Drosophila melanogaster: one gene and its partner. The protein of the gene in region 2 interacts with the protein of the main gene of each other region in a biochemical or structural test. Each region holds a gene or a part of one and is shown on either strand. Other genes may lie near its edges.

Region 1 (4,156 bases), about 16 Mb from region 2:
CTCCCAGCGAAAGTCCATGGAACGGGCACAGACGCTGCATGACAAAGTGATGAAGCTGCTGGTCAGGAGGTACATTACGGCGGAGCAGAGGCGGCGGGACGATTACGGCATTACCGAGGATGATATCATTGAGGTGCGCCAGGACATCAGCTCCTTGCGGTTCGAGTTGCTGGAGATTTTCACCAACAATAACTGGGATGTACCCGACATTGAGAAGAAGTCGCAGGGTAAGGGAAGCCTACCCACATCCAAATTGGCAACTTACACGTGTCTTAAGATAGAAGTAGCAGTATATATGAATAATTATTTACAATTAGCTTTTGAATACCTAATAAAGTTCACCCCATCTTGAATATTAATTTGAAATATGTTGTGCTAGAAGACTACAAAGCTAGAATGGATTTTAATGGATTTTATTCACTAAACTTACTTTTGAAGGAGTTGCTCGAACCACCAAGGGCAAGGTGATGGAACGTCGCATCCTTAAGGACTTCCAAATCGGCTTCGTCGAGAATCTGAAGCAGGAAATGAGCGAATCTGAGAGCGGACGAGATATATTCTCATCGCTGGCCAAGGTCATCGGCAGAAAGAAGACCCAGAAGGGGTAGGTCCACTTAAATCTGTAAGACGCTTTGAATAATGGTTATTATTCTCAACAGAGACAAGGATTGGAACGCCATTGCGAGGAAGAATACTTTCGCCTCCGATCCCATTGGCTCCAAGCGCTCCTCCATGCAACGTCATAGCCAGCGAAGCTTGAGGAGGAAGATCATCGAGCAGGCGAATGAGGGTCTTCAGATGAACCAGACCCAGTTGATTGGTAAATTAATAAAGATGTGCCCAATGTATGTATATTTCCATACCCTTGATCTCCTCCAGAATTCAATCCCAACTTGGGTGATGTGACGCGTGCCACAAGAGTGGCTTATGTCAAGTTCATGCGGAAGAAGATGGCTGCCGACGAGGTTTCCTTGGCCGATGACGAGGGTGCTCCAAATGGCGAAGGCGAAAAGAAGCCACTGGATGCCTCTGGGGTACGTTCCAATCAATATATGTATATGTATTCCCTGGCTAATATATAATCTCACTTGCAGTCTAAAAAGTCCATAACTAGTGGTGGAACTGGAGGAGGAGCTTCTATGTTGGCTGCAGCTGCTCTAAGAGCATCGGTTAAGAATGTGGATGAAAAATCCGGAGCCGATGGCAAGCCCGGCACGATGGGCAAGCCAACGGATGACAAGAAAGCAGGTGATGATAAGGATAAGCAGCAGCCTCCCAAGGACTCCAAGCCGTCAGCAGGTGGTCCCAAGCCCGGGGATCAGAAGCCAACTCCGGGTGCGGGAGCTCCAAAGCCCCAAGCAGCTGGCACTATCAGCAAGCCCGGTGAGTCACAAAAGAAGGACGCTCCGGCACCACCAACCAAACCTGGAGACACCAAGCCTGCTGCGCCGAAGCCTGGAGAATCCGCCAAGCCCGAGGCCGCTGCCAAAAAGGAGGAGTCTTCCAAGACCGAAGCTAGCAAGCCGGCAGCCACAAATGGAGCAGCCAAGAGCGCAGCTCCCTCCGCTCCTTCGGATGCCAAGCCGGATTCCAAACTGAAACCTGGAGCAGCTGGAGCACCAGAAGCAACTAAGGCAACCAATGGGGCCTCCAAGCCGGACGAAAAGAAGAGCGGTCCGGAGGAGCCAAAAAAGGCTGCAGGAGACTCCAAGCCAGGAGACGATGCCAAGGACAAGGATAAGAAACCCGGCGACGATAAGGACAAGAAACCTGGCGACGACAAAGACAAGAAACCTGCTGACAATAATGATAAGAAGCCAGCCGATGACAAGGACAAGAAGCCGGGAGACGATAAGGACAAGAAGCCGGGTGACGACAAGGACAAGAAGCCGAGCGATGATAAGGACAAGAAGCCTGCCGATGACAAGGACAAGAAGCCAGCAGCAGCTCCTCTGAAGCCGGCGATCAAGGTGGGTCAGAGCAGTGCCGCAGCTGGCGGAGAACGAGGCAAATCCACGGTCACAGGACGCATGATCTCCGGCTGGCTCTAAGCCGCGGAATCCACTTTCATAGCAATTAAATAGTTAAGTCCTTTGTTTGTGTGAATAATAAAAAAAAAGAATCTCAAGTACCACGTTTCTGCAACTTGTTGCTAAAGGCCACCTGTTGCCAGCAACATCTCATTTGCATCGCAGCAACATTCATCATCCGCCCCGTTGTTCCGATGGCAATTTGTTTGTCTGCCATCCATCCGCCTGCTTTTCTGGCCTATAAAAGAACGTGAACTTCGACCAGAGGAATCAGAAGAACCGTGACCGTTCCGAGGATAACATCAGACCGAAAAACATATTCGCCAAGCCAGTGTTTCGTCCTAAATAGTCTTGCAAATATGAAATCTATGTTGGTCCACATAGTTCTAGTGATTTTCATAATCGCCGAATTCAGTACAGCTGGTGAGTGGTGGAAACATTACAAAATCGCTTTTAAGGAAATCTTAAACAACAAACTAGTCTATCTCGACTAAGTGCTGCTGCTATCTTTTGTTAACTTTAAAGTGAAAATAGTTAAATGCTTTTTAATAATGTTCAATAATATTTTGCAGCACCTTTAAAAGAAAGAGGTAATGGTAAAAAGACCTTTCCAATTTTTCATTAAAATGTTCTACTTAGAAAAGTTGTTTATTATTATTTTATTAACTTTTTTTTTAACACTTAAAGCACTTCTTGAAGAGGCATGCAATTTAAGTCGTACACAGTGTCTTTTTATATCAAGCTCTTTAAATCAAAAAGGTGATTTCAAATCTAACCGCTGAAATAATAAAAGCCACTTAAGAAGAGTTAAATATCAAAGAAATAGTTGTGGCACTCTAAATCTATAATTCAAATTTAAAAAAGGTTTTAATCACAAAAAGCCTTAATAAAAATATTCAAGTCACTTGAGTTACTTTGGCGGTTAGGCTACGAAAATAGCTTATTCCACGGAGACTTAAGAACAATAAGATGAGAACATTTGAATAAATTGCAATCCCCAAACACTCCATTCAGAGACGGACCACGACAAGAACCGACGAGGTGCCAACATGGGGCTCTATGCCTTCCCGCGCGTTGGTCGCAGCGATCCCAGTCTGGCCAACAGTCTGCGCGACGGATTAGAGGCCGGAGTCCTCGACGGCATTTACGGAGATGCCTCCCAGGAGGATTACAATGGTAAGTCGTTGCGGCCGGATACGGTTGACTAATTGGTCCTAACGCCCCGGGGACGCATGTGCCATTCCAGAGGCTGATTTCCAAAAGAAAGCCAGTGGTCTGGTGGCCTTCCCACGCGTTGGCCGCGGTGACGCCGAGCTGAGGAAGTGGGCCCACCTTCTGGCTCTGCAACAGGTGCTGGACAAGCGCACGGGACCCAGCGCCTCCTCGGGATTGTGGTTCGGTCCCCGGCTGGGAAAGCGCAGTGTGGACGCCAAGTCGTTTGCGGACATCTCCAAGGGACAGAAGGAACTCAACTAGACACACTGACTCCCCCTTTTGACACTCTGAATGTCGTAGATACTTTTGTATATCAAAGAGAACGCTTCTAATTGAATATTGTAACGGGTATACAGCAAATATGTTTTTCGGTCAAATATATATTATGAATAAGGGCTGGTGAGAGCTTGTAATTAATGTCTTTGCGTGTCCTTCTTGCCATTTCAAGTATGTAAATATAATAAATCATATAAAGTAGCCTGCTCAAGTACCGCGTTACAACTGGGATTCCTTTTGGAGTATTAAGAAAAGTTTATTCTAAATGAATTGCAAACAGTTTTGGTTCGGACATGAATGATACGCCATTGCCATGACATGGCTAAGATCATCCGTTGTGGGCTCTACTCCTGCTGTTGCTTGAACTTTCGTAGCTCGGACTGTATGGCCTCGATAAGGGGTGCAGTTCCCGTTCTACTGCCCGATGGAGCAGTCGCATCCAATCGGGCCTCCATCCTCTGGAAGGGTCCTGCGCTCACTGGACGATTCAGGGTGGAGTGGGAGCTGTACATACTCCCACCTCCCCAGGCACTGTAAGTAGGCGACGGAGGTTGCGTCGAGTGCGCCGACTTGGACGTCTTCTCCGGCTGAGCGGTTGCCGGACGTTCAGCTAAGCTCTTGGGTTCCGCCGAAGG
Region 2 (5,699 bases):
AGTATTTCAATGTCATCTGAAAGAAAAGTTTAAATATTGTGCGTCAAAATATCGCTTATTTAAATTTTTTTAAAATTTTGAATAAATAAATAAATAAATTTTACGAGTGTGTAGTACTTAAAAAATCTGAGCCAAAGAATTCGAAAGGTATATTTTCTTTTTCTTCAATTTAGTGTATTAAAACTTACTTTATTACAAGGTATCCCAAGTTTGGATAGTAATTTAACTCACCCATTTGTCGTTTTTTCCGCTTCACCTTCCTGCTGCTTTTTCTTGCCCGATTTGCTCGTAAATCACAAACTTCATAATTTCTACGTCACTTTGCGGACATGTGTGCGTATGGGTGTGTACGTGGCTTTTGCTCCTCTTGCCGGTTGTATTGAGCCAATTCTTTTTTGGCTTTACGTGACGTTGGCAGAACAAATCGTTTTTGTTTTAGCCATCTGACTTGTTTGCTCCTTTATGGCCCGCTGCGCTTTGGACTTTGACGCATTTGCGTCGCTTTAATGCGATTGCTGGTTGCTCATTACGGCCAATCCTTACTAGTACTTGCACTTTCTGTGAATTCGTCTGGGGTTTCCATTTGGCTGATTGCATTTTCATAACAATTTGGAGGATTACTAATGCGCCACGTTGTCCCTGCATTTGCATGACCTTGAACCAGTAGCCACCTCATTAGAATTTCATTTGTAGTCAACAAGGCGCAGACGACAGGGCCACAATCGATAAAAACCCAAATGTATTTTATGGCCAAATTACATTTTTACTAGAATGAATCCATAGAAAGATGCGGAAAATAAGCGGGCGCGGAATATGCTAAGCTTTATTTGCAGCCATGGGAATAATCTTAATACAGCAAATTCATCCTTTAAGGTATCTCTAGAAGTAAGTTTAGTAAGCGAACTTTGTCCGTCATTTCCATTGAGTTGAATGCTACATTTTCGAAATCTTATTTTAAATGCGATTCAATACAATATACAGAATCTACTATGTTTAAGATCGCAACATTTTTTTTTACACTTTCTTAACTAAACACTTTAAAAGCACATCTGTGTTACACTTTGGTATGCATGTGAAACATTTGGTTAACTAAAACATATATCTACGCAATTTAAAAGGCGATCTATTAAATTTCAAGGGGCAAGCTTTTCGTTTTTAAATTTAATTCCTATATTTAAATGGTGGGCGTTCACTAGTGATTGATTTATGCTTACCATTATCGATAATATTATTAAGTTATATCCGCCTCAGGCTTGTTTAAGAGTAAATCCCCCGAGCTCTGACCAAAGTTTAATTTTAAGAGCGCCAGTATGCTGAATAGTATGAGTCAAAAGATTGAATATTCTTAGACTGAATAATTCTGAATACTTGAAAGACTAGTTTAGGAGTTTTTCCAGCCGTTGTCCGCAGCTGAATGAATGAAAAACTTAATGCTTAAGGGAGAGTGTGCGCTCGACTGTGATTAACTTTTAATTGCCAAATGCAAATGAATGCAAAAGCAGTTTAAACAAAACGCTTTGGTAGCAGCAGCAATAGCAATAGACGACAAATAACTGGCTTAAACAGAATTCAAATAAATTAGCATCAGGAAGCCGCACGAGAGAGTGAGTTCGAGTTTATCAGTTAGTTGACTTGGACACCGATCATGGCGTACTGAGCGGCGACTGGCGGCTTGTTCGTCGGATTCTGGATGTGGAGTACACATAGAGAGAGAGAGAGAGAGAGAGAGAGCCAGTTAATATCGAACCTATCCATTGATTATAGGGGGCACTTGCCTGCATTATCGACGGTTTCGGCTGCTCCGCCGACTCAATGGAGAAGCGCTGCGTTTGACTGGAATTGGTTAGTGCCCTCCTCAGGCGGCGCGATTCGATGTTGTTTCGCGAATTCAGCGAACCCTTCGATACCTTCTTGCCAAACAGAACGGCCTAAAGGAGTGGGAAATCGGTAAGGTAATTAGTTAAATAGAAAAATTCAGACATTCGAATTATTAATAAATATATTAATAAATATATATAAATATTTATAATACAGATAAATTTGAAATATAGTATTGCGCATACTATAACCCCCACTTCCGTTTTACTCACCTTGAATGCCTCTCGGAACTTGTGGCTCATAATGTTATATAACAGCGGGTTGATGCAGGTGGACAAGTAGTAGAGGACACCGGAGACATAGGTCATCACCGTGTAGACAAACTCGTGCTGATCCCGCAGTTTGGCCCCCCGTGCAGGGGCGTAGATGGCAATCAGTCGCTGGGCGTGGAAGGGGGCCCAGCAGAGGAAGAAGCACACCACCACGGCCACTAAAGGGGAGGGGGGGGCGGTAAAAGTCAGTGACGTGGGGATGAAAATGGAATGGCAATGGAAATGGGGAAGACACAGCGAGAGTCACAGATAAAGAGTCAACGATTATATTTTTTGGTAATCGCAATTGTCATCATAAATGGAGAGTGCCAAAATGACAAACGCAGTAAATTGGCTGCAGACGGGTTGATTAGCCCAGCTTAGGGCATATGGTCAAACAGTTGGCATACACTGAGCAAAAGTTGAAGTAAAGCTTCTAAAATGGTTCTTCATTGCATATAAAGAAAGATTTAGATATCATATTTCAGAATTTTTAATTTGCAAGACTTTTGTGAGAAGACTAAACCTTATTAAAAACGGAGTCTTCTACTTTTGTTTTTGTCAAAATTTCTTACTAATTTAATCATCTGAATACTATTAAGTCATGTTTACTTAATGGTTAGCGGTTTAGAGATCTGTCATTTAATTTGTGATACCCCCGTACTATTGCTGGTATTTTTCGCCAGTGTATATCGTGCTATAATTACCTAGCATCCTGAGTACTCGCCGGGTGCCATAGTGATTGAGCCGACCTCTCACCGAGCTAAGTTGAGCCCCCGAGCCGCCCATCAAGCCCGCTGTCCCTGCTCCACTTCCTCCGCCGTTGAAACTCATAGCGGTACCGGATCCACCATAGCGATATAGGATCGTATCACTGGGCACACTCTTCAGCTGCTGCCGTCTGGCAACCGAGGCAGGACCCTCCACCAAAGTGGATCGATACAGGTGCACACCGATAAGTAGGTACAACACTAGGATAATAGACATCGGAGCCAGGAAGAATATGAACGTGGACAGCTGGAATGAGTGCTTCACTATGACCCGCACTATGCCGCATTGCTCCACTCCCGAATAGTGCTCGATTCCAAATTGGGCAGCCTGCGGAATGGCCGTAACTATGGCCATAATCCAAACCAGGACGATGATGCGAATGGCGCGACTGAGTTTACTCATGGCCTGGCCCAGAAACGGATGGCAAATGGCAATATACCGCTCCACCGTGAAGGCCGTAATCGTTAGCACCGTGGCATTCGCCGATGTCTCCGCCAACAGACCACGTCCGATGCAGATGTACTCCCCAAACACGTACGGGTACTTGGACCAGATGTAGGACACCTCCTGCGGAACGCCCGACAACAGGAGCAGGAAATCCGAGATGGCCAGCGAAAAGAGGTAGTAATTCGTGGCCGTGTGCATTGAACGGTTCTTCTTAATCACAATGCAGGTACTTATGTTGCCCACTACACCGGTTATGAAAATGAGGGAGTAGACCACCGTTACGGGTATCACGATGGCCAGCGGATCGCGTGGCGGTCCAAGATCATGGCTCATATTGCCAGCGGACATGGCGCCGGCGGCCTGGAATTTTTCCCCTTTTGTTTTCACAAAATTTCCACTAACAGCGCTAAATTCCACTGCCGTTTAACTGCTGCGGCTCCGGCTGCGACTCGATGTCCCCTCAACTATGCTAATTATAATAATTTATTGGAGGCGACCGGGCGGAGGAGGGACAGGTCTGGACTCGCGCTTCGCAATGCTAGATACTCGATTCTAAGATTCAGATACTCGACTGGCACGCAAACGCACCAAATTACCGACGAGGTCGAGATCCGTATACCGTATTCAGTATTCAGTATTCCGTATTCCCGGCTGTTTTTCTAGGGGGCCCGACTTCTCTTCAATAAGTTATCGAGTTAATTTGATTTCGATTCGAATTCTGATTCCCGAGAGCAGCCTGCAACCGCACTCCAGCGCGCTCCAAACTTATCTGATAAGCCGCGGCGACATTTCATTCAGATTTGTATCTGTATCTGAAAGCCAGCGACGAAGCGTCGCTGTTTTTCCCTCACATGAACGCGGAAGGTGAGCGACATGGTTGTAATGACCGAGCGTCCAGCGAACGTGCCGGCTCAATTAAATCTTGAAAAGCGGCGATATCTTGATGGGACTAGCCGATGTTAGAGACTAAGCACAATGGCTCCGAATACAACGCAATTTTTGGGTAATTAAAAAGGCTAATTAACAAAAACTTGTAATAATGTTTGCTTTGGCCCATTTATAAAACACTTAGTTGGGAATTTTGACTTTGTGATGCACATAATCCTAAATAAACCACGATAATGTAAACAACACATCTTGGAATTAAAAGCCAAAATAAGATGCAATAATATTAGATGATGCAATAATACCAAATGACCGAAGGCCACCGTGCGTATGAGTAATGTCCAGCCAGCTTACTTGTTAGCTTATAAGTAAGAATATTGTTCTTTGTTTATCTTACTAAAGTATATTGAAATGTAAACAAATAATAATAATTACAATTCAAATCTAATTTAGATTAATTAAACTATATTTTGTGTAAGCTTGTGATGCACAGGGCGTCAACTTAGCCCAACTTAGTGACACCACCATTCGAAATTTCGCGCACCTTCCAGTCTTATTTACGGGTCCGTCTCGGGCCGCATTCGTGTGTGTATTTTGGCAACAATATTTCATAGTGTCTATGGAGCAGCAACGTTGGCTCGGGACATTAGCCACTGTGCGCCAACAACAACACAAGAGGCCATGGTAGAACCACCAACTTGGCCGAATGCGCCTCGCGATTCTCAAGACAGTTCGGGCTTTTTAGTTGCTTCACGCCGTCGACGAGTGACATTTTCTATGGCCACATAATATTTTCATTCATTTGTTTCGTTTCGTCTCGTTTAGCACCGGCAAACGCTAAGTGTGCCGACCCCTCCCCACCTGGATATGGCCAGATATAGCCGCCCCCCTGCCCAGTTATTGGCCAAAACCCGGCACACGCCTCTTGATGGGTGTCAAAGTGCGTGCAATGTCTCTGGAATTTGGCACGAGTCGAATGGTTTTCCCCGCTTGAAAAGCTTTTCATGTGCAGCGGGGAGCTGCAAAGCTTTCTACCCACTGTTTGTCGAACTGGGGGAAATGAATCGAACCCATCAATCAACGTCGGTCGGTGATTTGGGTGAAGGATGAAAGCTTATGTGCTGCACCGCCACGGAAGTTGTCAACTGCAAAGTTAGGTAGGGCACCACCGGCACTATATTTAATCAAAAAACAATAAAAAAAAAACTTCAAAAAAACAATTGAAAGTTTTATCCATTTATTTAGTATTTATTAGATTTCTTCAAAAGAAGCTGAATATCTTTTATACGTAGAACGCATCTTATGTTAAGTCCTCTACCATCGTTTCGATTAGCATATAACACACGCAAACATTTATTAAATGTTTTAAGTTGATTAAGTAAAGTAAAATTCTTCAAAAGAATATATATTCCAAAAGTTCCGTTCTTTCTTATCGGGAGAGTCTTGCTTCCCTTATACCTAAATCCA

The links.
Region 1: of the proteins of PK1-R (region 2) and Capa, one has a biochemical effect on the other in vitro, tested with the Drosophila melanogaster proteins (one study listed by BioGRID).

The regions. Positions count from the first base shown.
Region 1 is NT_033777.3:29,912,491-29,916,646, reverse strand, and holds Capa (capability), read left to right. Parts: upstream 1-2,300; 5' UTR 2,301-2,389; coding exon 2,390-2,453; intron 2,454-3,044; coding exon 3,045-3,206; intron 3,207-3,276; coding exon 3,277-3,506; 3' UTR 3,507-3,656; downstream 3,657-4,156. Other genes in the region: trp (transient receptor potential), read left to right, coding at 8-227, 439-604, 660-820, 880-1,034, 1,095-2,051; CG31036 (uncharacterized protein), read right to left, coding at 3,866-4,156. UniProt on the Drosophila melanogaster protein: CAP-1 and CAP-2, but not CAP-3 are ligands for the Capa receptor. CAP-1 and CAP-2 are probably components of the signal transduction pathway that leads to Malpighian tubule fluid secretion via the second messenger nitric oxide.
Region 2 is NT_033777.3:14,099,023-14,104,721, forward strand, and holds PK1-R (pyrokinin 1 receptor), read right to left. Parts: upstream 4,101-5,699; 5' UTR 3,696-4,100; coding exon 2,837-3,695; intron 2,309-2,836; coding exon 2,091-2,308; intron 1,929-2,090; coding exon 1,776-1,928; intron 1,687-1,775; coding exon 1,624-1,686; 3' UTR 810-1,623; downstream 1-809. UniProt on the Drosophila melanogaster protein: Receptor for the neuropeptide CAP-3/pyrokinin-1 (TGPSASSGLWFGPRL-amide). Also activated weakly by other neuropeptides terminating in the sequence PRL-amide including pyrokinin-2, Hug-gamma, and ecdysis-triggering-hormone-1.